Linked DNA regions of Macaca mulatta. The protein of the gene in region 4 binds, or shares a complex with, the protein of the main gene of each other region. Links are inferred from orthologs where the notes say so. Each region holds a gene or a part of one and is shown on either strand. Other genes may lie near its edges.

Region 1 (4,171 bases), on a different chromosome or scaffold from region 4:
AACCAGGATTTGAACCCAGACAGTCCACTTCTCCCAAAATTTCATTTTCTTACCTTGATTCCGATACTCAAAAAGACGGGGATCAGCATGAATGGGAATGAGCCCCAGACGGTGAGCAAGGATCTCATCCTGAACAATGGATGTATTATTGTACACCAGGACCTTCTCCACAGCCATAGTTGGCACCTGCCCAAGGAAAAATAACCACTTATCTGCAAAAACCCAACAGACCCCCTACCTATCCCCACAACCCCACCCTCCAGAGGTAAGGAGCTATCTCTCTTCCTAGAATGTTTAATGAGAAATTTACAAAGAATGAGAAGGTAAAATGCTCAGCAAAATTCCAGGAAAAATGAGGGAAGGACAGCTTGAGACAATTCTCCAAGTGAGGTGTCAGTGCAGTTCCCAAAGCAACTCCAGCCTTGTCACCATGCCTGCCAATACCTCAGCTAACAGAATTCGTCGAAAAGCATTGGCAATGGCTGCGTCAATTCCCACCATGTCGAACTCCAGTGAGTTTTCATCCATGTGTACTACATCCACACGGAAATTCTAGAGGGACAGGAAAAACATTTAAGTGAAACCTGCTCTCTCTGTAATATCTCTTCATACCTCCCCCTTAGATAATTCCCTCAAGTATTATCCTCTCATCCAAAAACCTCCCTTTGCCCAGATGTCCCTTATTAAATATTCTTTCTCGCCCAGTGCTTTAGTTTCATAAAAAGTCTCCATTTTTGTCGTCCATTCATTAAAACCCTATGCAATATGGCTTCCAACCAAACCATCCACAGAAGCTATTCCACTAAAGAACAGAAACTACCATAGTGCTTAGTCCTGTTGACACTACCCAGTCCTCTTACTAGACTTCTGTTATGCTTGACATTGATTAAAAAACCTCCTCTGGGCCCAGCACGGTGACTCACACCTGTAATCCCAGCACTATGGGAGGCCGAGGGGCGGATCACAAGGTCAGGAGTTTGAGACCAGCCTGGCCAGCATGGTGAAACCCCGTCTCTACTAAAAATTCAAAAAATTAGCTGGGCATGGTGGCGCGTAGCTGTAGTCCCAGCTACTCGGGAGGCTGAGGCAGGAGAACTGCCTGAACCCAGGAGGCGGAGGTTGCAGTGAGCCAAGATTGCACCACTGCACTCCAGCCTGGGAGATAAGAGTGTCTCATGAAAAGGAAAAAAAAAAAAAAAATCCCCTTTTTTGAACGATTCCCCTGGTTTCTGAGCTCCACTCTTCTTCCATCTCTGATGATCAACTTCCACCCATCTCTAAATTTGCCAGGTTCTTGTCTCTCTCCCAGGTCACCTTAACTGTACTAACAGTTTTAGCAACTATCTGTTCTGACAACTCCCAAAATTTTATCTCACTTCTGATCTCATTTCAAGCATGCAGTCTTCTAGCCTGCTAGATTTCCCCACATACAGAAAACAATGCATCATCATCCCTGTTCCCCAGACCCATTTCTCCTCTTAGTAAATGATACCACAAAGCAAAAAGCAGTTCCCAAGCCAGAAAAAGTCATTTTATGCTACCCCCACAGCCTTTATCCAAGCAATCATAAATTTACCTTATATTCTTCCTTTGCTCTATTTCTACCATCAGTCTTAGTTCATATCTTCAACCTCAGCTTCCCTTACAACAGATCTGCCTGCTCCATATGATCCTCCTCAAACTCATTCCCTCCCAGCCATCAAGGTTGCAAATCTGATCATGTCTGCTTAAGAAACTATTCAAGCTCCCTATCATCCACAGTGTGACACACTTCAATCTTGCCGACCACTCATGCCAGAACTACTTGGACATTCCCGGAGCACATGTCACAGAAGTCATAATTTTTTTTCAAGCATTAGCCTTTTTCATTGTTCATACTTTATTCCTTGTATCAACAGGTTAAAAAAGTAAAATTTTCCCAGGCACTGATTTACACATCATGTTTATAAGCTGCATAAAGGGTAACATTTAGGTCAGTTGCATAAAGAGTAACATTCAGTAATCTATTTAAATGCAATTTTAACCCTTATTTTAAGCTAAGTGAAACAATAATACAAAAGACTAAATACACACAAAACCTGCATATCCTGAACTTCACTGACGTGAAACTCAAATCTTTCATAATTCAACTCCTGTTTTTTTTTTTACTTACCATTCAAGGTTCAATTCAGGTGTCCCCTCCTCTTGAAATGTTAAGTACCTCTCGGCCCCTCTTCCTGGTCTCAGCGGAATGCTCCCCACCCCAACCCTGCCGTCTTCATCGCTATCAACCACCTTCACCATATTACACTAGATGCACTTGTTTATACGCACCATTCCTCAACAAGACGGAATATCTCTGCAGAGATAGAAACCGTGTCTAATTTGGCCTGTAAACGGAGCGTCTAGCACATTGCTCAACAAACACAAACGGAGCGACCCCCAAAAGCAGCTGCTGAGACAGACACAGGCTGCTCAGGCCACAGGGTCTGGCCTTCATAACCCTCCCCAGACAACTTCGGCCCCACTTACCTTCTCGAAGCGGTCCTGGTCCCAGGCATCATCATAACCGGAATAGTTTCCGGGAAAGTCAGTGGTATGGACCTAGAGCAAAGGGACGAGTTTGTCCACAAAGGGACAATGAGCCCACGGCTATCCCCACGCCAATCCCAAGACCCACCCCTGTTCCGCTCTCATTCCTCCCGCCCGAGCTCAAGGCCACAAGGCTTACATTGCGAACCCCAAACTCCCCTAGAACCACGCGGCCCCGCATCTCCTCCACCGCCTGAGAAGCCGCCATCTTCAATCTCTCCACGAGACTGGAGGCTCTATCTGGCGCGTGCGTCCTAGTAGACTGGCTCCGTCTCCGTGGCAACGCGCCACCGCCTGGAATCTTAAATATCGCGAGACTTTTCCCCGCTTCCGTCCACGTCCCCAGCCTCCGGAAGTTGGTTTTGTCCAAACATCCGGGCTTCTCTTTTTTGTGTTCCGGCCGATCCCACCTCTCCTCGACCCGGGACGTCTCCCTCACTAAGGCCCACGTCTCGCCCACTCCTCCGCGCGCGGGGCTAGCGCGGGCTTCAGCGACGGGAGCCTTCAAGGGACATGGCAACTACAGCGGCGCCGGCGGGCGGCGCCCGAAATGGAGCTGGCCCGGAATGGGGAGGGTTCGAAGAAAACATCCAGGTAATGGCCCCAAGGCACTAGCTGCCAGCAACCCGAGGGCCAGCGATGTCCAGAAGTGTCTTGAGGATTCTTCCTGTGGGCCTGGAAGTCCGCTCCATTTGCAAAACTCTCTTCTTTGGGTCTTCGTGCACACTAAAGTCAGTAGGATTAACATTGACCTGAAAGGGCCAGACTAGTACTCCAGCCTGAGGGTCTCGGGTCTCTGGGCCCGCTCGAGGCATTAGGAAGAAGGTATTCTTGGAACAAGTTAGGAAGTTGGTCGGGGTCAGGCATGGAGTGGGGTTGGGTGGGATTCACTGGCATTCGCTGAAAACATATTATGTGTATAGTTTTGTTTGGGGCTTAGGAAAGAAGGAAATGGGCACTTTTTCAGCCTTTTAGTCTTTGGTAGGTAAGGTAGGAAAAAGACAGGAATGGAAGACTAGTAGTATGTTTCCCAGGCTAGAAAATTCAGCCAAAGCTAGAAACCAAGAGTTCTGAGAGCATATGAGGGGGAATGGAGTGGCATGATCTGTAGTGATTCCGAGCCGTATCCTCAGCAGTGGAAGAACAAAGCCCTAAACCCTGGGATGAGCAGAGGACTTAATGGATGGAACAGAAAAGTCCTGCACTCTAGGAGCCATTGTCTTCACAGGGCGGAGGCTCAGCTGTGATTGACATGGAGAACATGGATGATACCTCAGGCTCTAGCTTCGAGGATATGGGTGAGCTGCATCAGCGCCTGCGCGAGGAAGAAGTAGACGCTGATGCAGCTGATGCAGCTGCTGCTGAAGAAGAGGATGGAGAGTTCCTGGGCATGAAAGGCTTTAAGGGACAGCTGAGCCGGCAGGTGGCAGATCAGGTAAGCATGATTGAATCTTCTGCAGGTGGAAAGGTATACCTAGGTATGTCCCATGTTCTGGAGTTGGTGTTGGTGATGTTTGCCCCAGGTTGTCCAGTTAGAACCATGTAGAAATCAAGCGGAAAATAGGCAACAGGGTCTAGAACCAACAGTCCCACAATACCT
Region 2 (4,178 bases), on a different chromosome or scaffold from region 4:
GCAAGGTTGATAGGAGATCCTGTGCATAAATTTGGGAACTGCAAAAGCCTGCCCTTTTTTGTAAAAGTGAACAAGAAAAGAAAGAAATTCAACTCTATAGAAGGGGAATTTGACTGTCTCAGTAGGTAGAAAGAGAGAAAACTCTTTCCTGAGAATTTCTAGCCATAAGCTAGCCCTTACATGGATTTGCAGCTCAAATTCATACTATCTGTCTGCTCCAAAAAACATGAAGCCAAGAATTTATTTAAAGTAATTCCAGCTTGATAGTGCTTCAAGGCACCTAGAAAAGAAACACAAATGCTGAGAATACAACACTTACCCAAGGCCTCAGAGAATTCCTACAGTTCAAGTTCTAAAAAACTCAAATTTATTGTCAAAAATTACAAAACAAAGAAAAAAGCACTATGAGAGAGACAGCAGAAACAGACAGCAGCATCAGACACACAAAATCCACGGATATCAGAATTATGAGACATAGAATATAATAACCACATTTAATATTTTAAATATATAAAGACTAGTAAAAGGAACAATTTAAAATATTATTAAGGAACTGAGAATTATTTAAAAATTGAGATTTGAAAAGTAATTAAATAGAACTCAAAATAATAACAATAGTAAAAAATAATAATACTTGAAATAAACTGAAGACAGAATTAGTGACATGGAAGAGGAACCTGAAGAAATTACTCAGAAGGTGGCATAAAGAGAAAAGCGATTGAAAATATGAAAAGAAGGCGAGAGAAATGGAGGACAGAAGAGAGAAATCTCATTCTAGTAACTAATTAGAGGTCCAGAATGTGAGGACTGAGAACATGGGGGAAAGAGAATATTAAAAGAGATGATGGCTGATAATTTTCCAAGGTTGATGAAAAAAAAAATCCACTCTAGGCCAGGCGCAGTGGCTCACACCTGTAATCCCAGCACTTGGGGAGGCCGAGGCGGGTGGATCACAAGGTCAGGAGATCGAGATCATCCTGGCTAACACAGTGAAATCTTGTCTCTACTAAAAAACACAAAAAATTAGCCGGGCGTGGTGGCGGGCACCTGTAGTCCCAGCTATTCAGGAGGCTGAGGCAGGAGAATGGCATGAACCCGGGAGGCGGAGCTTGCAGTGAGCGGAGAACACACCACTGCACTCCAGCCTGGGAGACAGAGCGAGACTCCGTTTCAAAAAAAAAAACAAAAAACAACAATGCACTCTCAGTTTCAGAAAGTCCAACAAATCCCAAACAGAATAAAAGAAAATCACATTTTGATATACTATAGTGACTGCAGAACACCAAAGACAAAGATGAGGTCTTAAAAGCATTCAGAAAGCCCATGTTCTCTAAATCATGTGTGACTAATTCTCTCCAAAGTAAAGCTACCTTGACTGCGGTTGAAGACTGCAGTATAAGACGCTGACCACTAAACAATACTTGCTTCTTCTGGTTTTTTTTATTCATTTCCTTTTAAATATCCTAAAAGAAGGTCAGGCAGGGTGGCTCATGCCTGTAATCCCCAGCACTTTGGGATGCTGAGGTGGGTTGATTGAGCTCAGGAGTTCAAGACCAGCCTGGGAAACAGAGAGAAACCCTATCTCTACTAAAAATACAAAAAACAAAACAAAACAAAAAGCCAGGTGTGGTGGCACGTGCCTGTGGTCCCAAAGCTATTTTGGAGGCTGAGGTGGGAGGATTACCTGAGCCCAGGAGGCGGAGGTTGCAGTGAGCCAAGATTGCCTCACTGCACTCCAGGCTAGGTGACAGAGCAACACCCTGTCCGTAAAAAAAAAAAAAAACCTAAAAGGTTTATTTCACTGGTTACAAAAAGGGTTAAAAAAGTGTAATTTAAAAAAATAAAAACTACAAATCTCCCTCTTACCAGAACTGCACAGAAATAAGGGATGGGACGAAAGGACACAGCCGTTTAGTACAAAAAAATAAATCACTGGATTTGTTTATTAGTTAGCAAACAGACTGAGCAAAGGGAGGGGAAAGGATACCCACTTGCAGTTGGTACAGGTGTAGAAGACAGTTTGCCCTTCATCGGCTGAACGCATCTGTCTGGTGTGGTATGCCATTCCTTCATGACCACATCGAGGGCAGCGCCTGTCAACCTGGGAAGAAACTGGTGGGTTATGGAGGCCAGGTCATATCATACCCTTACTTCCCACAGGAATCAGGCGATCACGCCTCTCAAACATCGATGCTTTACATCTTTTCCCACTTGGAATTGGGCACAAAACTCTCCAGATCTCTGCAATCACTCCTCCATTTCTTTCCTACCCACCTTATGGAGCCAGTTCTTGATCTCATTAACTTACCACAGGTCCCTGGCACTCAGGCCCTTCCTCCACCGACATAGGCATGGCTGTCCCCAGTTGGTGGAACACAACTGAAGTCTTCACAACCTTCCCCTCAAAGTCTGCACAGGCAAGTAAGACGGGTTATGGAGACAACCTGAGGGAGCTGACACCGGAAACTTCCCCTCTCCCCTGGCTGGTTAGGCCAGGAGGCCCTATATCCTTTCCCTCAGTTTTCATCGCTGAACCAAATGTACAACTGCCTGATGTCCTGCTCTAGGATCCCCTTCTCAACCCAACCGATCTTGAGTTCCCCAAGCTTCCGATCCTGGGCCCTCCGCCAGGACCCCTGTGTACAAGCCTCTCACCCCGAACGTTGATGTTGAAGCCACAGCGAGTACAGGTGACCGTATCCTGAGCCCCGGGCAGAGGCAGGACCGAGCCGCAATCTGAACAGAAATCCAAGTCCGACTGAAAGCTGGAGCAAGTACCGGCGAGGTCCATGACAGACATGCAGTCGGGTCTGAGGAGGGAGTTAGAAGTTTATTAACAAAAGAGAGAAGAGTTCCTGCCCCAGAGGTGGTAACTATTCCGTCCCAGGACGTAGGAGTATATAACCCGAGTCCTCCTCCCACGCACGCCTCCTGCCTCTGCGACCAAGGAGCCGAAACGCCCGGAACTCCCAGACAGCGTCGGGTACTAAAAGGACTTGGAACCCTTTCCTGGGGCCGGCGAGAGGAGCTGGCCAACTCCGTGGGCTAGAGCGCCAGCTCTGCGCCCGCGGCGGGGCAGCGAGCTAGAGCCGGCTAGAGCGTCACGCTTTCACGCTGACGATTGGCTGTGACGTCATAATTAATTGCGTACCGTGTCTCGGAAGCCTTAGAGATGGAGAGTCACCACTTCTAAGGGAGGTTGGGGCTCAACTTTCAGGCTGGTACTGAGACGTTGAGCACAAAATTGGTAACCAATGCTGCGCTTCCAGCAAATTTTCCCACCAGCACCGAATCCTGGGATATTTATTCTCTGTTTCACATCCTACGGGAACCCAATCGCGGGGGAATATCCTCCTGAAAACCGTACTTTGCTGAATAATGACTTCTTTGGATTAGAGAACTACAACTCCCCTGGGTCCTGAGCTGGTATTTCCCTTTTGCGGCTGCACAGTAGTTAAAAACAAAGCTAAGTGTTCTGGCATGTATAGTTCTAGCGTTCCTTGGGTCCCGCTGGCGAGCGTGGGCTTTCTGCAGAGCGCAGCCGGCCTGTGTGCTTTGCGGACGGTTCACCGCGCTTGGAAAGGGGTGAGTCGGCTTCTTGAGGGACAGCAAGTGGTGAGGGTGAAGGCCAGAGGAATCCTTAGTCCCACGGGACGAAAGGAAGCAGGGATGAAGTGGGACACTTGAGAAGGGGCTCAGGACTTTGGAGGTGGTAGAACAGAAGAGCTTGGGGCTTCCCCTCCTTCGACTCCTGCCAGATAAGTGAGGCTAGCAGTAGTCAAGAAGCTCATTAAGTAGGATTTCATAAGACTTAGGTCGAGTTTGGCTTTTAGTTGTGCCTGCCGCTTATCGAACTCTTAATTCATTATTCGTCATCCATTAAGTGGACAGCTGACATTTCCCTGATCTTTTATAAAACATGGGAATAAGTTTCTTTCGGAAATCTTGCTATTTTCGTTACTCTGTAACTTATATTCGAAGTAGAAACTTTCCCTGAAGGGGCAGCTTGTCGTTGTTTACTAGTTTCCTGCTAGTCCTCCCACCACCACCTACTCTGATAGCTGTGCTAAGTTCCTTCATATGAAAGTTCTGGAGCCATCACTATTTTGTCCTGTGAAGGACACAAGCTGTAGTCTTTTCGCTGGGAGAGGCTCCCACCTGCCTTTCTCTGTGATAAT
Region 3 (4,048 bases), on a different chromosome or scaffold from region 4:
AAAATCATGACTACAAAAATTTAAACACTCATGTTAGTGCAGCCAGAGGGCTTGGAAAAAGGAAAATGATAAACTACATTTGGCTATACTTCTGTATTGACATTTGAATATAACAGTTGATACTCCTGCGAATTCTCAAAAAGCATGAGGGAAAAAAACAGCCAGCTATAATGATCTATTCAGGAGGATCTAAAAAAGTATTCACTCAAATATGGATACAAATGGATATTACATATAAACATACGGTTACTTAACATTTTCCCTCTACTCCTGAGATATAGTAGAAATGCTTCTGAACTACCACAGAAACAAAAATCTCTAGTCAGATGATGGTTTACTGTCCTAAAGTAATGCTTAGGTAAGTTCCTCAAAAAATAAAATGCTGTAGGCCAGGCACAGTGGCTCACGCCTGTAATCCCAGCACTTTGGGAGGCCGAGGTGGGCGGATCACAAGGTCAGGAGTTTGAGACCAGCCTGGCCAACATGCCGAAACCCCATCTCTACTAAAAAAATTTAAAAATTAGCCAGGTGTGGTGGTACGTGTCTGTAATCCCAGCTATTCAGGAGACTGAGGCAGGGGAATTGCTTGAACCTGGGAGGTGGAGGATGCTGTGAGCTGAGATCACGCCACTGCACTCCAGCCTGGGCGACAGAGTGAGACTCCGGCTCAAAAAATTAAAAAAATAAAAATAAATAAGTAAATAAAACTCTGTAATTGTTTTTAATTCTAGCACTTGCTAAAGCTAAAAGATGCTTTGTAAATAAAGCATGTGAAGAGGTGAAACCTCAGTAAAGACATTATTACTCTCTCATTATTACCTGTGAAACGGGCCAAGGTGGGGGAAAAAAAGGACACTATTACTCTAAGTTTGCACTGACGGCATCATGCTATTATTAAATATTTGATTTCAACTGGTATCTTAATTAAGCTTGCTATTTCTATTGGTCTTTAGTATAACAGCAATAGTTGTATTCTGACCTGACCAAAAGCAAACCTCATACATTATCTCCTCTTACCTTTTTATACTTTAGCAAGACTTCTGTCACAGTTCCACCAAACCGAACAGTTTTTCTTGGGGGAGAATTGAAAAAATCATTCTCTAATGCACGCATATTTGAAATCCTGTGGAACCAAAATTAACAAGCTATTAAGTTCATGAAAATATTAAAAATTATAATAGCCAACATTTATTGAACCAACATCATTCAGTGGAACTATTGTTAAAGCCTCTTTACTGGTCTCCCTGCTTCCACTCCTAACCAACAATCCCTCCTTTGCTCAGCAACCGAAAACTGTCTTCCCACTGCACTTATAGTAAAAATTCAAATCTCTCAGTGTGGTATTTAAGATCCTACATTAATCTGGCCCCTGCCTACCTCTCTCACCTCATCTCCAACACCTTGTTTTACTACAGCCATAATGTCTTTTCTGCTCTTCGACATGCCAAGCTGGTTCTCATTTCACTTACTGTTCACTCTATCGGAAATACTCTTTTCCCAAATCTCCACGTGGCTGGATTTTTTTGTTTGTTTGTTTGTTTGTTTTTGAGATGTGTCTTGCTCTGCTGCCCAGGCTGGAGTGCAGTGGTGTGATCTCAGCTTAACTGCAACCTCCATCTCCCGGGTTCAAACAATTCTCCTGCCTCAGCCTCCTGAGTAGCTGGGATTACAGGCACCCGCCACCACGCTCGGCTAATTTTTGTATTTTTAGTAGAGATGGGGTTTTGGCATGTTGGCCAGGCTGGTCTCGATCTCCTGACTTCAGGTGATCCGCCCACCTCGGCATTTCAAAGTGCTGTGATTACAGGCGTGAGCAACTACTCCCTGCCTAGACTTTTGTCTTCATTCAAGTGGAAGCTCAAATGTCAGATGTCTTCCCCACGAGAAATCTCAAGTACTCCTTCTCTCCCTTCTCCCTCCCCATTACCCTGTTGTATAACTGAAACCATCGTAATTTATTGGCCTATGTACTGCCTTTCCCCCATAGGATATAAGCTCTGTAGAAAGCAGGGACATTAGTGTCTTTGGATAAACCACTGTCCCCAGTGTTTAACATAGTAAGCAGGAGATCGATAAATATTATGAATCATATTATGCTAATTGTTTTACAAGGTCTGCTTTACTTACACAGAGTAAATTAATGAAAAAACATAGCATCCTAATGACTCTGAAAGTTAAACGCCAAGTGTGCTATGGGGGTTAGGGATTTAAAAGCGGAGCAAAATAAAGACTGCTAAACAAATACGTGTGTCGAAACAAATTTCAAACAAAAAAGATGTAATATTCAATTTGCCATGAGTGACAACATTCGGCTGATAAACCGAATAGCCCAGGGAATCCCTTCCAAATTTGGACGAAGAAGCGGGAAGAGGAGTCAAGGCGCAGAAGGCAGTACCGAGGCCTGGGAAATCACGAAGAAATACAGTCGGGAAAGGGGGGCTCCAGAACAGATAATATACTGACTTTTCCAGGCCCCACCCATGTCTATTACCCAGTTATGAGGAATGAGCTCATTCCCGCGAACATGAGATGACCCTCGACCCCGTGCTCTTACCACACGCCATTAGCTTTGTCCCAGACCCTTTCAATCCGCTCCCCTAAGCGCAGTCCTGAGCTTTGGTCTCGGACGCGCAGAAGGAAGCGGCCTGAATCTTACCCAGTCCTCGACGCGCCCAGCGTCTTGACTGCAGAGGCCGAAGCAGCCGCATCTCCCGGCAACCGCGTGTGAAGCAGTGGTGCCGCCATTGGGCCGAACTAACACGACCGCTGCGCCTCAGGCCGGATGCTCTGCTCCTTCCAGCCACAGCCCTCTGTCCCGGAAGTTGCGCTTGCCGGCGCAACCTTCAGCCAATCAGGGACCCCGCGTGGGGAGAGCGTGTGCTCTCCGCGAGCTAGAGCGCCGCCAAACCCCGCCCCTCATTCTACTTGGACCACTTGTTCCACTCAGCGCGAATGCGCGAGTAAGGAGAGGCAGGAAGGTCCTGCTCCATCCAGGCCCAAGAATCCCAAAGAAAGGGTGGAAATACTCTGGATGTGCTAAGCTGTGGCCGGGTACACTCGAGTGTTAATTTTTTGGAGTCAAAGCCTCCCTCAGTTAAATCAAAGAAACTGAAGCACTGTGATTGACCCAGATCCTCACGGAGGAAAGGGGATTTGAACCCGGGTGACCCAGGAGCCTGGGCTCTGTACTCAATGCAACATTCTTACAGACCACCAAGATAACGTTATCCTCACGTAAACGAGCTCGACGAAGTGATCTACCCCAGAGCCTCAAGGCTGTGATGATGCTGGAATGAGAAACAGCAGGAGAGTTTCCAAGAGGTGTTACCCCCTTGACTTTTTTTTTCTTTCTTTTGAGACCTAGTCTTGCCCTGTTGCCCAGGCTGGAGTGCAGTGGCGTGATCTCAGCTCACTGCAACCTCCGTCTCTGTTGCCCAGGTGGAGTGCAGTGTCGTGATCCCAGCTCACTGCAACTTCCGCCTCCTGGGTTCAAGCAATTCTCGTGCCTCAGCCTCCCAAGTAGCTGGGATTACAGGCGCATGCCACCATACCCGGCTAACTTTTGTATTTTTAGTAGAGACGGGGTTGCACTATGTTGGCCAAACTGGTCTCGAACTGCTGACCTCAGGTCATCCACCCGCCTCGGCCTCCCAAAGTGCTGGGATTACAAGTGTGAGCCACCGTGCCTGGCCAAACTTAAATTTTTAAAAGAGGAACAGGAGTCAACCAGACCAACAAAAGAGCGACTGGTGTTCCAAGCATAGGAAACAGGAAACAGCAGAGGCCAAAACCTCGGGACTGTAGGGGATGTAGAGGGAGAGCAGAGGCTGCCCCTACCCTCAGGGAGGGGAAAAGGTTGCAACTTTGGAAACTATACAGGCCTATCAAAAATACAAAAATATCCAGGCTGGGTGACGCCGTGAAACCCCATCTCTACGAAAAATTTAAAAAATAAAAACAATAAAAATTATCTAGGTGTGGTGGCACACACCTGTAGTCCCAGCTACTCGTGAGACTGAGGATTGCTTGAGCCAGGGAGATAACATCA
Region 4 (4,277 bases):
CGGCTCACTGCAAGCTCCCCCTCCCGGGTTCAAGCAGTTCTCCTGCCTCAGCCTCCCGAGTAGCTGGGACTACAGGCGCCCGGCACCTCACCTGGCTGTTTTTTTTTTTTTTGTATGTTTAGTAGAGACGGGGTTTCACCGTGTTAGCCAGCATGGCCTCAATCTCCTGACCTCGTGATCCACCCGCCTTGGCCTCCCAAAGTGCTGGGATTATAGGGGTGAGCCACCGTGCCTGGCCTAAATCTGGCTCTTCAGATTCCAAGAGAGAGAGTACAGGAGCCTCTGCTCAGTCTGAAGAGCACCCAGAAGGAGGGAACCTCAGCCCTGAGATGGAAGGCTCTCCTGGCAGCACCTCCTGCAGGGGTACCTGTGGAACAGGCTGGCCCCAGGGCTAGGAGAATTCATGGCCCAGTCGGCTTCCCTGGGCTGCCGCGGTGTGAGAGCTGGGCCTAGTCCTGGCCCCTGACATCCTAGTGAGGGCTGGGACCTTGGTAGTTCTGAAAGACCTTTACTGGATTGTTCCTTCCAGAGTGGGGGATGGGACACACACACGCTGTGGCGAGGCATTGCGCCAGCTCCTGGATGCCTCAGCCTTGTGAACTTGGGGCAGGATGCTCATGGCCCATGGTCAGCATGGCAGGTAGGCGGATTCCAGCCTGGTCACTTCTCCAGGGGTGCATAATTGAGCAGCTTCTCGATCAGGTCCACGTGGGCCAGCAGCATCCGGCGGCAGCAGTAGCGCTTCAGGCCCAGGGCGTCCAGCGCATCCCTGTGTCAAGCGAGGGGAGGAACAGAGAGGCCAGCTGAGTTCTCCACGGTCTGCACAGGCCTGGAGCCCACATCCAGGCCGCCTCTCACTGCCTGCTGGCCTCACTCCCCTGCTACCGGCAAGGCGAACACATTCACCTGGATGAGAAGTAGAGACCTAGGGGTATGATCCTGGTTGGAGTAACCTGGCAATGCCCAGATCCCTGGGTGGAGCGTGAGGAGCCTTCTCTCCCACCTACTCTGGCTGTACATATGTGTGTCTAACATATGTAAGAAATATAAATGAAACGAAAACTAGAGGTAATTGGGGGAGCATAGAAAACCAAGGCCACCGAGGTCCTGATGCGCAGCTCCCCTCATCCCGCACCAGCCACAGCAGGGTAGCTCTCCAGGGGCCTGCCCTTAGCTGGTTCATCCCCCACCCCAGAGCAAGCCCTACTCTGCCACTGTGGCGTCTTTTCTCACCTCTGCTTCCTTCAATCAGGGAGAGACTGCTTCTCCAGGGAGCCACCTCTCCCATTTCCCAAGCCAATTAGAAGCTTTAATTTCCCTGGGACCAAGGTCCAGTCACCATCAATACTTCCAGAAAACTCCCACACTGATGGCTCCAATGTGCAGAGAGAGAAGCTTGGGAAAGGGGAGGCCACATGGGAGGCCCCTGCAGTTCATATCCCTGGGAAAGGGTCTGGACAGGCCACCAGCCACTCACTCTGGCAGCCCACTCGCTTTACTCATTCGTCCAGCAAGCTGCACTGAGAGCCTATGGCAGGCTGGCACACACGAGCCTGGGGTTTCACATGTGACCAGGACTCAGCAGGCAAGGGTCAGACTCCAGCAGGGGCACCAAGACTCAGGCACGGTGGTGACAGCAGCACCGAGGGACAAGCACAGGAGAAGGATGCCTCCCCCACAAAGCCCGATGATGAGGGTGGTCAGCAAGTCTGCCCTGCATTTCTTTTTCTGTGTGTGTGTGTGTGTGTGTGTGTGTGCGTGACACGGAGTTTCACTCTCTCATCCAGGCTGGAGTGCAGTGGCGTGATCTCGGCTCACTGAAATCTTCACCTGCCTCCCAGCCTCAAGCGATTCTCTCGCCTCAGCCTTCCAAGTAGCTGGGACCACAGGTGTGCACCACCAAGTCCGGGGAATTAAAAAGATAAGAGGGCCAGGGGCGGTGGCTCACACCTGTCATCTCAGCACTCCAGGAGGCCGAGGCAGGTGGATCACCTGAGGTCAGGAGTTCGAGACCAGCCTGGCCAACATGGCGAACTCCTATCTCTACTAAAAATACAAAAATGAGCCGGGCGTGGACACGCCTGTAGTCCCGGCGACTGGGGAGAATTCCTGGAGCCCAGGAAGCAGAGGTTGCACTGAGCCGAGATCGCGCCGCTGCACTCCAGCCTGGGCGACAGAGCGAGACTCCGTCCCCAAAAAAAAAAAAAAAAAGAAAAAATTTCTGGAGATCAGGGTCTCCCCAGGTTGTCCAGGCTGGTCTCGACCTCCTGGGCTCAAGCAAGCCTCTCGCCTCGGCTTCCCAAACTTCTGGGATTACAGGCGTGAGCCGCCGCGCCCGCCCGTCCTGCAGCGAGGTTTGCAGGACATGGGGTGGGTCTGGGAGCAGAGACGAGAGATTAGGACGGAGACCAAGGGCTTTACTGCGGGTGACAAGACGCCTGCCACCCGCCAGGCCACCTAGAATCCCCAGGACACCACTGGTTTGAAGCCCAACTCCGTTCTCTCCCCAGACTTCAGGGGACAATGTTCTCCCGAAAGCAGATCACAGAGCTGGGCCGGAGTGGCCGGGTATGAAGCTGCTCATGGAGCGCCGGCCCCAGGCAGCGCTGCGCCTCCCGCCCCGGCCCGCACCCCAGGGCGGACTCAGCCCCCAGCCCCGGCCCCAGCCCGCGCCTCACCCCTCAGTGTACTCGGCCTGCAGCAGCCCCAGGTAGGCCTCCCACTTGTTGCCGACGATCTTGCCGCAAGTGAAACACCGTACAGGAATGATCATGGCGGCGGCGCGTCCCAGACTGCCCGGCCCGGTCCGGCCGCACGGGAAGCACTCCCCCCAGGCCCCGCCCCGGGCGCGTCCACTATCGCGGGGGGACCGGCTCCGCTCGTTCTCCGCTGCCCCAGCCGTTCATACACTGGCCCCGGCGCAGCTGGCCGCAGTTTCCGCCGCCATGGGGATTCCCCATGCGGCCCGGGGCTCCTGGGCCTGCACGGCCGCGGCAGCAACAGACGACACACCCCCGCCCACCATCTTGGTGCGTCCCGGAGCTACGGCGTCTGAGCAGGGCCGAAAGCCGCGGTGGCGGTTCGCGTTTCTCGTGTCCGCTTGACTGACAGCTGCGCGGAGGGAGCGGACGAAGCGAGCGGGAGGCGGCGGCGCAGGTAGAGCGCCCGGGGGGTCGTGGGGGCGTGCGGCCAGGGTCTCGCGGCCCGAGGTGTCCGACCGGGAGCGGCTGGAGCCGGACGCGAGCGGGGCGCGCGAGTTCGAGCCTAGAGCCGACACGCAGCAACAAGTGGGGTCCGGCGCGGGGGCTTGGGGAGAGGGCGGGCGCGGACCGGGGCGGGTCTTCCTGCTGCCCCTCTTGGCCCCGCCGGGTAGTGGGTCCCTCCGCCTCCGCCTCTACTCGCGGGGTGTCCGGGGCTCTCGGCGCCGAGTTCGGGGGTCCCATTCTGGACGCGGCCCAGCCCCTAGGAGCGCCGTCCTGGCCTCGGCCGCGCAGTTACGGCCCCCGCCGGCTGCTCCCCGCCCCGGCCTCCTGTCCGCGTTCTTTCCGCTCCTTCCCAGGAAGGGGGTCGGGGTGCGCCCTCCCCGGTCCCGGCTCTGCTGGGCTGCTGGCCGTCCCGACGCTGAGACGCGCCTCTGAGCACGGGGAGAGGGGGCCCGGGAGGGAGGTCGGGGAGGGCGTCGTGGAAGAGGTGCTCTTTGAATTGAACCTTGAAGACCCCGGCACAGGGGACCCCTGGGCAGACTCCCGGAGGCTGCACTGGCAGGACCCGCTGAAGGCCGCAGCTCTGCCTTGCCCTGGAGCTCAGGGCCTACGGAGGACGAGGGAGGGGGAGCCCGTGTCTCTCGGATGGAGTGCGGGGGGGCTGGCACCAGCACCCTCCTTGCTGTGCCCCTAGGGTGGGGGTGAGGAAATGGGGGGTCGGTGTGCAGTAGGAGGCAAAGAAGACTCCTTGGAGGTGCCAGGTAGGCTGTGGGGGGGTGGGTGGGCTGCAAAGTGGCACCCATGGGGGGGCTCTGGGCTGGGGCTTCCAGCTGGGGTGGGACCTGTGCTGGGTTCCAGGCATCAGCTGCCGCTTTCTCAGGGCAATGCTGGGTCTGCCTTAGTTGCAGGGGAGGAGGATGAAGGGTTTTCTGGATCCAGAGTGGTGCTGGCCAGATCCACTGCACACTTGGGATTTCTGCTCCCAACCTGGCCAGGGCCCTGGGCAGCTTCCCCAGTGGCGTTTGTCATACCCCACCCAGCCACGTGCAGAGCCACGAGCGGAGGCCACTTCCC
Region 5 (3,461 bases), on a different chromosome or scaffold from region 4:
AGAGCAAAACATTCATATTTGTTTTCTACTAATACTTTTATATTTTTAAATATGAAATATTACGTTTAGATCTTTGATCCATCTGGGATTTACTCTGGGGTGTAAAGAATAAGGAAGAGATCTACTTTAAAAAATAAATTTAGCTTTAAAATACAACGAGTATACATTTCTGGATACAACTATACAATTTACTGGCCGGGCACGGTGGCTCACACCTATAATCCCAGCACTTTGGGAGGCCGAGGTGGATGGATCACGAGGTCAGGAAATCAAGACCATCCTGGCTAACATGGTGAAACCCCATCTCTACTAAAAACAAACAAAAAAATTAGCGTGGTGGCGGGCACCTGTAGTCCCAGCTACTTGGGAGGCTAAGGCAGGAGAATGGCATGAACCTGGGAAATGGAGCTTGCAGTAAGCCAAGATCGTGTCACTGTACTCCAGCCTGGGCGACAGAGCAAGACTCTGTCTCAAAAAAAAAAAAAATAAATAAATAAATACAATCATATAATTTACTGTTGTTTTAACTTTCTCTTAGAATATTCATACTCTGAAAAATAAAATCAAAGCTCACCTGCTTTATAATATACAATTTTCTAAGCACACTTGACATATATGTAAATATGTGTCAGAGCATATACATATATATGCAGCATTTTCTACAATTCTCTGGAATGTTATATTAAAATCTGATGTTATATCAATACTAAAATATTTTTCCAGAAAGTTTCTATTTCATTTTCTCAATGTCGTCTCGCTTTCTTGGATCTTGATTTCTTTTTTGTTACACTATATTTTTTCTCGAAAAGTTTCTTCTCAACTAAGCTCACTTCTTCATGGAGAAGGGAAGTCTTTATTCTGAGCAGGAAGGAGAAGAGATTTAGTATAAACTGATAACTCAGAGAATAATTTGATTCTTCATAGGTTGTCACGTGTGTACAATAGCTAGAAGGGAAAAAGAAAAAATAATTTCTCTTTAGATGGTAACCAAGAAAGGCACACACTAACCCCTGAACATCTCCCCAAATAACAAATATATATGGTTAGGCTTAAAACAGGACCCTGAGCTGGAAAGAAACCTAGAAGAATTTGGTAACTCCTTAACTGCACAAAGGAAAACATGTTCACACTGTCCACGGCCACCACACAAGGGCCACAGGTGGTGCTAGGAGCTGGTCCTTCAACTCTCTGCTCGAAGTTTCTTCACTCCAGATGGGGCACCACTCCACCTTCTTACCATGGTCAAGGCAAACAAAAGCATACAAGGAGATATTCTGAACATATTTCTTTCTTTCTTTTTTTTTTTTTTTTGAGACAGAGTTTCGCTCTGTTGCCCAGGCTGGAGTGCAGTGGCCCGATCTCAGCTCACTGCAAGCTCCGCCTCCCGGGTTTACGCCATTCTCCTGCCTCAGCCTCCCGAGCAGCTGGGACTACAGGCGCCCGCCACCTCGCCCGGCTAGTTTTTTGTATTTTTTAGTAGAGATGGGGTTTCACTGTGTTAGCCAGGATGGTCTTGATCTCCTGACCTCGTGATCCGCCCGTCTCGGCCTCCCAAAGTGCTGGGATTACAGGCTTGAGCCACCGCGCCCGGCTCTGAACATATTTCTAAAACAAACTAAAGAAAACAAATAATCCCCGACTTCCACCCAACATAAGACACTAGACTTTATAATGTAGCTTGCAATACTATATGTACTGTAGGAGAAGAGTTTACCAAGCAATTTCCCTTATTTTAAAATAGTAAAGCCTTCCATTCCAAAATGGCCAAATAGGAACAGCTCTGGTCTGCAGCTCCCAGCATGATCGATGCAGAGACAGGTGATATTTGCATTTCCAACTGAGGTACCTAGTTCATCTCATTGGGACTGGTTGGACAGTGGGTGCAGCCCACGGAGGGCAAGCTGAATCAGGGTGGGGCATCGTCTCACCTGGGAAGGGATTTCCCTTTCCTAGCCAGGGGAAGCTGTGACAGACTACACCTGTAAAATAAGGACACTCCCGCCCAAATACTGCACTTTTCCAACGGTCTTACCAAACAGCACACCAGGAGATTATATCCTGAGCCTGGCTCAGCTGGTCCCTCGCCCATAGAGCCTTGCTCACTGCTCGTGCAGCAGTCTGAGATCAACCTGTGAGGCAGCAGCCTGGCAGCTGGAGGGGCGTCTGCTGTTGCTGAGGCTTAAGTAGGTAAACAAAGCAGCTAGGAAGCTTGAACTGGGCAGAGCCCACCGCAGCTCAGCAAGACTTGCTGCCTCTGTAAACTCCACCTCTGGGGGCAGTGCGTAGCTGAACAAAAGACAGCAGAAACTTCTGCAGACTTAAACGTCCCTGTCCGACAGCTCTGAAGAAAGCAGTGGTTCTCCCAGCATAGCATTTGAGCTCAGGACAGACAGACTGCCTCCTCAAGTGGGTCCCTGACCCCCATGTAGCCTAACTGTGAGACACCTCCCAGCAGGGGCCAACTGACACCTCATACAGGTGGGTGCCCCTCTGGGACAAAGCTTCCAGAGGAAGGATCAGGCAGCAGTATTTGCTGTTCTGCAGCCTCCACTGGTGATACCCAGGCAAACAGGGTCTGGAGAGGACCTCCAGCAAAATCCAACAGACCTGCAGCTGAGGGACCAGACTGTTAGAAGGAAAACTAACAGAAAGGAATAGCATCAACATCAACAAAAAGGACATCCACACCAAAACCCCATCTGTAGGTCACCAACATCAAAGACCAAAGGTAGATAAAACCACAAAGATGGGGAGAAACCAGAGCAGAAAAGCTGAAAATTCTAAAAACCAGAGCACCTCCTCTCCTTCAAAGGATTGCAGCTCCTCGCCAGCAACGGAACAAAGCTGGACGGAGAATGACTTTGACGAGCTGACAGAAGTAGGCTTCAGAAGGTCGGTAATAACAAACTTCTCTGAGCTAAAGGAGGATGTTCGAACCCATCGCAAGGAAGCTAAAAACCTTGAAAAAAGATTAGACAAATGGTTAACTAGAATAAACAGTGCAGAGAAGACCTTAAAAGACCTGATGGAGCTGAAAACCACGGCACGAGAACTATGTGATGCATGCACAAGCTTCAGTAGCCGATTCAATCAAGTGGAAGAAAGAGTATCAGTGATCGAAGATCAAATTAATGAAATAAAGTGAGAAGAGAAGTTTAGAGAAAAAAAGAGTAAAAAGAAACAAACAAAGCCTCCAAGAAATATGGGACTATGTGAAAAGTCTACGTTTGATTAGTGTACCTGAAAGTGACAGGGAGAATTCAGGAAATACAGAGAACACCACCCCTTGAGAAGAGCAACTCCAAGACACATAATTGTCAGATTCACCAAGGCTGAAATGAAGGAAAAAACGTTAAGGGCAGCCAGAGAGAAAGGTCAGGTTACCCAAAAAGGGAAGCCCATCAGACTAACAGCGAATCTCTCAGCAGAAACTCTACAAGCCAGAAAAGAGTGGGGGCCAA
Region 6 (3,949 bases), on a different chromosome or scaffold from region 4:
AAACTTCATAAAAAGACAAAAATTAGCTGGGCGTGGTGGCAGGCACCTGTACTTGGGAGGCTGAGGCAGAAGAATGGCTTGAACCTGGGAGGTGGAGATTGCAGTGAGCCCAGGTCGTGCCATTGCACTCCAGCCTGGACAACAAGAGACTCCATCACAAAAAATAAATAAATAAAATAAATAAAAAGAATCTCATTGTGCAACATTTGCTGACATTAAGGCACCAAAATCTCTACAAATGTTACCATTTATCGTGACCTATGTGGCTAATATGATCCAAATTACCCTTAAGCTCTTGATTTAAGGTCCATATATACCATTTCCAAAACACTCTAGAATCAGCCACATCTCATAACCTCCACTGCCCCCAGTGCCCACCAGGACTCACCTAGACCAGACCAGTTGCTTCTACCCGGTCTCCCTTTAACTGCCCTCAAACCCACAGTCTGTCTCCCCACAACAGCCAGATCACACTACAACCTCCCAGTTGAAAACACTTTAATGGCTCCCAAACTCCTTTCTAGAGCCTCTGATGGCAGGGGCTCTGGGAAAGCCCCCAGCCCAGTCCCCTCCCTTGCCCAGATAAACCCTGGTCAAAAATGCCCATCGGTGGGCACAACTTCTGAATGTTCTCCTTTAAGGAGAGGCCTCCGGTGGGCCTACCAAACCTAACTTACAGGGACACCCAGGAGCTTGACCTGGGCCTTTGTCATTCTTTTTTTTTTTTTTTTGAGATGGAGTCTCGCCCTGTCCCCCAGGCTGGAGTGCAGTGGCCGGATCTCAGCTCACTGCAAGCTCCGCCTCCCAGGTTCACGCCATTCTCCTGCCTCAGCCTCCCAAGTAGCTGGGACTACAGGCGCCCGCCACCTCGCCCGGCTACTTTTTTGTATTTTTTTAGTAAAGACGGGGTTTCACCATGTTAGCCAAGATGGTCTCGATCTCCGGACCTCGTGATCCACCCGCCTCGACCTCCCAAAGTGCTGGGATTACAGGCTTGAGCCATGGCACCCGGACTTTTTTTTTTTTTTTTTTTTTTTGAGACAGGGTCTTGCTCTATTATCCAGGCTGGAGTGCAGTGATGCAATCATAGCTCACTGCAGCCTTGAACCCCTGGGCTCCAGCGATCCTCCTACCTCAGCCTCCTATGTAGGCCTACAGACCCACACTACCAGCCCCAGCTAATTTTTTAATTTTTTTGTAGAGTTGGGGTCTTGCTATTACATTGCCCAGGCTGGTTTTGAACTCCTAGCCTTAAGCAAGCTTCCTGCCTCGGCCTCCTAAAGTGCTGAGATCAGGGGTGTGAACTACTGCACCCAATCCTTTGTCATCTATCTTTTCTTCATTTTGAGAAAAGTGAGAAAATTAAGACTTAGTTACTATGACAGTTAAGCAACTATTACAATCACCAAGGTCAGGGTCATGTTCTCCCACCACCCCAGCTCCCAACCCCCAGGACCCAGGGACTTACCTGATTCCACGTAGCAAAGTTGACTTTATCGGCTGCATTAAAAGCCATGATATTATATTTTTTGGTTGTATTCCTGGAGTGGATTAGAAAGAGGTGGTGTCAATCCAATACAGCAGTTCAATCATTAATTTAATGAATTAATGCGATTGAACCATTAATTCAATCAGCCATCCAACTGGATCATTAATTCAATCAAATCATTAATTCAATCGCTCAATCCAATTGAACCATCAATTCAATTCAATCATTCCATTCAATTGAATCATTTATTCAATTCAATCACTCAACAAACCCACCCCGATTCGATTCATTCAGCCTGTTTTGCCTGGCAACACTGGATACAGAAGACTCCAAGGATTCCCAGTCTGCCAGAGAAGCTAGACCCATCCCCTCTTGACCCCAGGCAGAAGAAGAGCAGATGGAGGGACAAAGATTTGAGGGAACCCAAGATGTGGAGATTATTGTGAACTCAGCCTTGGGGAGGAGGGAGGACAGGCATGGAGGGCTTCCTGGAGGAGGAAGATACTGGAGCTGAGCTTTGTAGAATCAACAAGAATTCACCCAGCAGAGTCACAGTTTAGGGGTTGAGGGGAGGCACTCATGGCAGAGGGAACAGGATGTACAAAAGCCTAGAAAGGAAAGATAGCCCGACCATTTTGAAACAGGACGAGGAATATGTTCTTTACAGCTGGCCTGAGCATCATGGGATCGAAGGTTAGGCCAGGGGGCTGGATCGCCGTGTTATTAATGCACTCATTCATTCATTCGTTTAAAAAAGCAGGGTTGTCTCCAGGGAAGCCTCAGCTTAATCCCAGCCCTGCCCTCCAAGTCTCTCCCAGTCTGGAGGGAGAATCACAGACAGGGCCAGAAACGCCTGGCTAAGAAGACCGTGAAGGTTTTCATTTTTGGAGGGTGGAGAGGAGGGGGAGATGGGGCTGGACACTTACTTGGGAACTCGAACGACGTATTCAGTGACATTCTGGCTGCTAGGGCCCTGCGGAAAGAGGAACCGGACGGTGAGTGAGGAGTTGCCGAGGTCGCCGTCGGGACCCCGGAACCCCGCCAAATCCACACTCACTAGGGCCGCCATGGGCTATGGTCAGTGGTTCCGATCTGGTCCGACCCGGGTTCCTTTCGTCTCCTCTGGCGTGCGCGTCCCTCGATCCCGGGCAAGCCGCCGCTCGCTGTCGGGTCTCTGTCCCTGAGCGAAGACCCCAACCCCAGGCGCCTCCGGCACTGGGAAAAGGTAACCGGAAGAGGCGCTGCAGCTACTCCGTCTACGCTTCTGCGGCCGCTTAACCCGGAAGCGAAACCCTCCAGCGGCCGCGTCGCGATGGCAACCTTCTTAGCCACTGTGGCCGCCTCAATGCGCAGTCACTTATGCTCCTCGGCGGCTATGGTCACCTCAAAAGGGCCACCACGGTCCCTTCTTAGACTCAGCAAACCCAGGCCGAGTCTGAGATAAACTAACCGGCCTCTGTCGCTGGCGCTCTTTTATACAACACAGTTAACTTCATCAAATGGGGGGCCGCCCTCCCTCGTGACGTCACACCCAAGGACCGCGGGGCATCCTGGGTGGGGAGAGGGAGAAGAGTCCTCCTTGCGGGCCCCCAGGCACTTTGCGCATGCGCCATATCGCTCTGGACCGGGGTTGGGGAGGGCCAAGAAGGCCGCGTCACCATAGCAACCGAGGCCTACTCCGGTTGGGTCGAACCGCTGCTTGGCTCCCCATGGGCCTGTTTGGGGTTCATTTCCTCCCCCGAAGGAATGGACCCCGTCATTGTCGCAAAATGACCGGGGCGGGGACCCTTGTGACGTTGTGCGGAGCCAGGAGGGGTCAGAGCCTGGGCGGGGTCGGGGAGCGACCACCCCAAGGCCTGCTGGCTGGATGGGTCTCTGCAAGTCCAAGCTGCCCGAGATGGGCAGGGCTCTGAGGCCCCAGGAGAAGGGTAACGTCGCGGGGGCGGCTGGCTGGCTTCCTGGGGGGAAGGGAAGGAGGCTGCAGAGAACAGTAGGGAGATGCAGGATCCCCTACCCCGTTCCAGGCATGCACACACGCCCCAGTCATGGCAGTAACACAACTGCGCATGCTCACGGCGCAACCATTCATTGCTCCACTTCGGAAATACTCGAGCACCTCCTGGGTTCGGGGCCCCGCAAGGTGAATCTGTCAAACCAGCTCCCAACGGAGGGTTACAGTGTCCTCTCGAGGGTTACAGTGTCCTCTCGAGGGTTACAGTGTCCTCTCGAGGGTTACAGTGTCGTGGGGGAGACAGACTCATAACATGGGAATCTACAACCCAGGAAGGAGCAGGAGAAGCACAGTGGGCTCTGAGGGCTCAGAGAAGAGGGGAGGTTTCAGTTGGGCACTGAGGGATGCATAGGAGTTGGCTAAGCAAAGGGAAGGGGAGCAAGACACAAAAATTGGGCCATGAACTACAGACACTGTCGATGTGTCTGGTTTCATTTATTCCTCATCCA
Region 7 (4,231 bases), on a different chromosome or scaffold from region 4:
TACTTCCCCGGGACCCCACTCCTTTTTAAAGGCGAAGGCAACACACCACCCTGTTTCTTCCCTGGAAGCCACTCATCTAGGCGCTCATACCTTCCTCTGGAAAACAAGCCCAAACTCACGCAGATGTTGCAGGAAGTTCAACAGAGAATCACTCATACCTTCCACAGAGTAATCCTGAGGAACAGAGGTTTCCAGCTGGGGTCCAAAACACAACCCACCCACCCCCAACCCCATCATTCATTCTGTCTTTCTCCATCCACCTCTGCTCGTTCTGTGTTCATTCTTATCTTCTCACTCTACTGCCCCACAATTTGCTTTTTCCTTCCCATCTCTATACCCTTCAGCCCCCTGCTTACCTTGCCCAGAGTAGAGAAGCTGAGCTGGAAGAGGAAGGAGAGAATCTCTACTAGGTCCATGCCCCGGCTCTAGGGAGAAAGAGGCAGAGACAAAGGAGGAGGGATGGGAGGGAGACAATGGGAAGAAAGGGACAGAGAAGAGAAAATCAGGGAACAGTCTGTAGGCAGGAATCTCTCAGTGAGACCTGAGAGGAGCAGAGCATGCTGGCAAGTGGCCCCGGCGTCCTCACCTGGGCTGTCTGCAAATACTGCAACATAAAGTACCAGAGCTGAGCCGGCGTGTCCAGCAACAGGAACTGGAAGCCAGCGGAAGTAATGCAGGGCGGCTCTCCAGGTTCAGTACTACAGACAAAGACCGGGACAATGACGGTGATATGCAGAGAAAGACTACTACCCCCACTTGTCCGCTCACATTTTTTCTTTGTATCTCTGGCTGTATTCTACTCAGCTTGCCTTTTCCAGCTAATGTCCTCTGAGCTTGACTAGCCGCAGATACCATTTCTTAGGGACCCAAGGAGATGGCACTGCAGAGAGCTGCTATACCTCCGGTTTCCTCACCTCTTCATGAGCCCAGCCTGGCTGAGGAGCTGAGCCAAGTCCTGGCTGACAGCTGCACTGGGGGAGCCCACCATGAAGTGCAAGACCACCTGAAGAACAGAAGAGAACAGGGAGACCATGCCCCAAGGGCCATGGGAAGTAGAAGCACAAGCAGAGACACACACAGTCCCAAGTGCTTACCTCCCATCGCTCCTCGGCATACTTGTCAAGGGAGGGAACATCCCGGGCATGCTTGTCTGGTCCCAGCTGACTTGTGTCATCAGACCAGGCCTTCCCCCTAAGGCCAGGATGGGCCAAGAGTAAGGAACCCTGGCCAGGAGCTCACACCTGTAATCCCTGTACTTTGGGAGGCCAAGATGGGCGGATCACTTGAGGTCAGGAGTTTGAGACCAGACTGGCCAACATGGTGAAACCCCATCTCTACAAAAAATACAAAAAATTAGCTGGTGGTTGCCTGTAATCCCAGTCACTCAGGAGGCTGAGGCAGGAGAATCACTTGAACCCAGGAGGTGGAGGCTGCATTGAGCCAAGATCGCACCACTGCACTCTGCCTGGGTGACAGAGCGAGACTCTGTCTCAAAAACACACAAAACAAAACAACAAAAAAAGAGTAAGGAACCCTGTCTGTGTTCCTTGCCACCCTTCTGCCATCTTTCCACCCTTATCCTCAGGGGCCATGAGTGGGGGACATTTCCTACACCACACACTGCAGCTGATCCAACTTACTCCTAAAGGAGCTCCCAACGTGGAGACCACAAGGTTCCGGGGAGGCCCCCAGGAGCTCCCCCTCCCAAACTGTAATTAGCGGTTTAATAAGCAGCAGTTCCCCTGCCCTAGCTTAGGAAGAGAGAGAAGTGACATACCCACCCAGAAGGGCAATGCGGAGGTTCTGGCGGAAAATGGGGTTGAGGATGAGGCCCTGGAGCCCGCCTGGGAGCAGCTGGGTGTGCCAGATCCGGAGGCCGCTCAGCAGCCCTGTACTTTCCTCCTGAGCCCTGGAACAGAAGCAGAGAGGTGAGCAGGGTATTTGGAGAACAAAAAGGAGGACCATAAAAGCCACCTCTCTGCCTGTTCTGAACTTGCTGATCCTTGGAACACTGTTCCACAGAGTGATATTAGTATCTGAAGACAAATTCTTTACTGCATTACCTATCAGAGCCTTATTACAGATATCACACATAACTCTGTAAGAGGGAAGATACATCTGAAAGCAAGAGGTCAGCTGGGAAATAAATAAAAGGGAAAAGGCAGTATGCAGAGTTTCCCAAATGTATTTATTTTTAAGTTTTGTGATATACCTATTAATACGTCCTGGAAGTGCTCCAAGGAACAGTAGTTTGGGAAATGTAGCTGTTGAGAAATTTGTATCTGGCTGAGACTTACTTGCTGAATTCCTTCTTTACCCACAGGGCTACAGCAGCTTGTGGCAAAGGCTGCTCCAGAAAGAGCATCCGCATCACCCAGTTCTTAGCCAAGGATGGGAGCTCCCTGAACAGGGACAGAGGTCAAAGGTTAATATCAGAAGCTGCATTGTATCTGCATCTCTGCCCTCAATTAACTCTCAAACATCTCATCTCACTCCACCACAACTTTACCAGTCCTGCTGTTTTGGCCCCCACACTTTGGAGCAATTTCCAAGCCGCACCCCGAGTCCCCACCCCTACCCCAGCCTGCTACACTTTTATCTGTTATATTTTATTCCAGTCCGCAGACCCCATTACATTTCCCTGCCATGAAGGGGATCCTCACCTGAAGACAGCCAGACAAGTGGCAGGGTGCCCATATAATCGGTCCAATACCCCAGGGCTCAGGCCCCCTAAGAATTCCTGCAGATTCCTGCATTGTAGGTGTACTCGGTTCAGTCCCCTTGAAGGGGTGCTCTCCATCACCTGAGGAATGCAGACATCAGAAGCGCACCCCCACCATCCATGCCAGTGTCACCCCTGACCTTTCTGATTCCAGATCCATGAGTCCCCACAATAACCCCACCTTTTCTGTGGCCTCCTTTCCCATGACACTCAATTCCTCTGGTTTCTCAAAAACCTGACCAATCTCCATCCCTTTCTTGCCTCCTCACCCTGTTTCTGCCCTTCAACTCCAGTCTTTCCTCTGCTCCAAGTGACAGAATTGTCAACTGTCCTGTGTTTGCAAGATCATTTTGTATTTCAATGACTTGTCTCATCTTCGGCTAAACAGAGACAAAGAAAATTGAGCCCACACCTCTCTCTTCCATCCCTCCTGGTCAGATCAGTCTATAAGCTCCAAATCTACCCGAACTTCCTATCTTCTATCTCTTAGCCCACTTCTGCTAAGTACGGCGGTAACCTCTCCCCTCCATGCTTCCCAAATCTAAAGCCACCTCTTTTCCCTTCCCAAGTCTAGTTCACCCCATTCACCCTGACCCACGCCTTCCGATCTCCTAGCTTCTCCCTGCCTTCCTCCCACTCCTCGCCTCTCACTCACCTGTCTCTCTCATACCTCTCCCACTCCCGCCCTCCTAGGTCCCCTCACCACTCTGTCGATCCTCCTCGCGCACCCCGAGTCTCGGGCCGTCGCTTAATCGGAGCCAAAGTCTCGCATTGGCTCCTGGAAACTGAGGGAAAGATGGTGAAAAAATGCGAAGAAAAGATGGGGAAAGCGACGAAAGATTTCACAGGCAAGAGCCCAGAATGGAGAATTCAGAAGAGAAGGGAGGTAAGGGGAGGAGTGGAAAAGTGAAGAGGATTAGAATAGACGATGCACACTCCCGGCGCGGGGGATGCTGGGAATTGGAGTCTTGTCTTTGCTCTCCTTAGAGCCGGCTGAAGTGCGTCTGACTACAAATCCCGAAAGGCACGGTGGGGAAGCCGAAAGGCAAGGAGCCGGCTTTTAATTGAGAGAGCGGGAGACACCAGAAGCCGGACCAGTTGGTTCTGCCAGAACCAACTCCGCCCACGCTGCTAACGGCGCATGTAACCCGATGGAGCGGGAGGCGGGTCGGGGAAAGTAGAAGTGCCTGGAGGGCTTCCGTGCGGAGGCGCGCTGTGGCGACTTGGTGGTGAACCGATTAGACTTAGGGACCACAAAACTGGATTCCGTGAGCACAATTACTCCCCGTAAAATTGGGATAATGCACACTCCGGGCCGGACGCGGTGACTCACTGCTGTAATCCCTGCACTTTGGGAGGCCGAGGCGGGCGAATCACCCGAGGTCAGGAGTTCGAGACCAGCCTGGCCAATATGGTGAAATCCCGTCTTTACTAAAAATACAAAAATTAGCCGGGCGTGGTGGCGGGCACCTGTAATCCCAGCTACTCGGGAGGCTGAGGCAGGTGAAT

What was found.
Region 1: POLR2L (region 4) and POLR1C share a complex: the UniProt entries of both Homo sapiens proteins name them as parts of the pol I pre-initiation complex. The link is inferred for Macaca mulatta from reciprocal best matches to the Homo sapiens genes POLR2L and POLR1C.
Region 2: POLR2L (region 4) and POLR1H share a complex: the UniProt entries of both Homo sapiens proteins name them as parts of the pol I pre-initiation complex. The link is inferred for Macaca mulatta from reciprocal best matches to the Homo sapiens genes POLR2L and POLR1H.
Region 3: POLR2L (region 4) and RRN3 share a complex: the UniProt entries of both Homo sapiens proteins name them as parts of the pol I pre-initiation complex. The link is inferred for Macaca mulatta from reciprocal best matches to the Homo sapiens genes POLR2L and RRN3.
Region 5: POLR2L (region 4) and TAF1B share a complex: the UniProt entries of both Homo sapiens proteins name them as parts of the pol I pre-initiation complex. The link is inferred for Macaca mulatta from reciprocal best matches to the Homo sapiens genes POLR2L and TAF1B.
Region 6: POLR2L (region 4) and GTF2F1 share a complex: the UniProt entries of both Homo sapiens proteins name them as parts of the TBP-based Pol II pre-initiation complex. The link is inferred for Macaca mulatta from reciprocal best matches to the Homo sapiens genes POLR2L and GTF2F1.
Region 7: POLR2L (region 4) and GTF2H4 share a complex: the UniProt entries of both Homo sapiens proteins name them as parts of the TBP-based Pol II pre-initiation complex. The link is inferred for Macaca mulatta from reciprocal best matches to the Homo sapiens genes POLR2L and GTF2H4.

What each region holds. Positions count from the first base shown.
Region 1 is NC_133409.1:138,600,748-138,604,918, forward strand, and holds the start of POLR1C (DNA-directed RNA polymerases I and III subunit RPAC1), read right to left. Parts: upstream 2,801-4,171; 5' UTR 2,780-2,800; coding exon 2,711-2,779; intron 2,584-2,710; coding exon 2,512-2,583; intron 553-2,511; coding exon 445-552; intron 187-444; coding exon 54-186; intron 1-53. Other genes in the region: protein YIPF3, read left to right, coding at 3,085-3,165, 3,800-4,006. UniProt on the Homo sapiens protein: DNA-dependent RNA polymerase catalyzes the transcription of DNA into RNA using the four ribonucleoside triphosphates as substrates.
Region 2 is NC_133409.1:152,983,541-152,987,718, forward strand, and holds the start of POLR1H (DNA-directed RNA polymerase I subunit RPA12), read right to left. Parts: upstream 2,801-4,178; coding exon 2,656-2,800; intron 2,410-2,655; coding exon 2,309-2,409; intron 2,102-2,308; coding exon 1,992-2,101; intron 1-1,991. UniProt on the Homo sapiens protein: Core component of RNA polymerase I (Pol I), a DNA-dependent RNA polymerase which synthesizes ribosomal RNA precursors using the four ribonucleoside triphosphates as substrates. Can mediate Pol I proofreading of the nascent RNA transcript.
Region 3 is NC_133425.1:15,963,052-15,967,099, reverse strand, and holds the start of RRN3 (RNA polymerase I-specific transcription initiation factor RRN3), read right to left. Parts: upstream 2,801-4,048; 5' UTR 2,746-2,800; coding exon 2,657-2,745; intron 1,124-2,656; coding exon 1,018-1,123; exon of another isoform or gene 1,003-1,017; intron 1-1,002. UniProt on the Homo sapiens protein: Required for efficient transcription initiation by RNA polymerase I (Pol I). Required for the formation of the competent pre-initiation complex (PIC).
Region 4 is NC_133419.1:734,183-738,459, forward strand, and holds POLR2L (DNA-directed RNA polymerases I, II, and III subunit RPABC5), read right to left. Parts: upstream 2,801-4,277; 5' UTR 2,774-2,800; coding exon 2,679-2,773; intron 770-2,678; coding exon 661-769; 3' UTR 388-660; downstream 1-387. UniProt on the Homo sapiens protein: DNA-dependent RNA polymerase catalyzes the transcription of DNA into RNA using the four ribonucleoside triphosphates as substrates.
Region 5 is NC_133418.1:114,880,231-114,883,691, forward strand, and holds the end of TAF1B (TATA box-binding protein-associated factor RNA polymerase I subunit B), read right to left. Parts: intron 946-3,461; coding exon 744-945; 3' UTR 501-743; downstream 1-500. UniProt on the Homo sapiens protein: Component of RNA polymerase I core factor complex that acts as a GTF2B/TFIIB-like factor and plays a key role in multiple steps during transcription initiation such as pre-initiation complex (PIC) assembly and postpolymerase recruitment events in polymerase I (Pol I) transcription.
Region 6 is NC_133424.1:7,269,515-7,273,463, forward strand, and holds the start of GTF2F1 (general transcription factor IIF subunit 1), read right to left. Parts: upstream 2,801-3,949; 5' UTR 2,559-2,800; coding exon 2,547-2,558; exon of another isoform or gene 2,482-2,546; intron 2,463-2,481; coding exon 2,416-2,462; intron 1,542-2,415; coding exon 1,469-1,541; intron 1-1,468. Other genes in the region: adenylate kinase isoenzyme 1, read left to right, coding at 2,802-2,867, 3,234-3,417. UniProt on the Homo sapiens protein: TFIIF is a general transcription initiation factor that binds to RNA polymerase II and helps to recruit it to the initiation complex in collaboration with TFIIB. It promotes transcription elongation.
Region 7 is NC_133409.1:152,144,340-152,148,570, forward strand, and holds the start of GTF2H4 (general transcription factor IIH subunit 4), read right to left. Parts: upstream 2,801-4,231; coding exon 2,664-2,800; intron 2,403-2,663; coding exon 2,298-2,402; intron 1,910-2,297; coding exon 1,778-1,909; intron 1,192-1,777; coding exon 1,095-1,191; intron 1,004-1,094; coding exon 915-1,003; intron 699-914; coding exon 587-698; intron 426-586; coding exon 357-425; intron 175-356; coding exon 91-174; intron 1-90. UniProt on the Homo sapiens protein: Component of the general transcription and DNA repair factor IIH (TFIIH) core complex, which is involved in general and transcription-coupled nucleotide excision repair (NER) of damaged DNA and, when complexed to CAK, in RNA transcription by RNA polymerase II.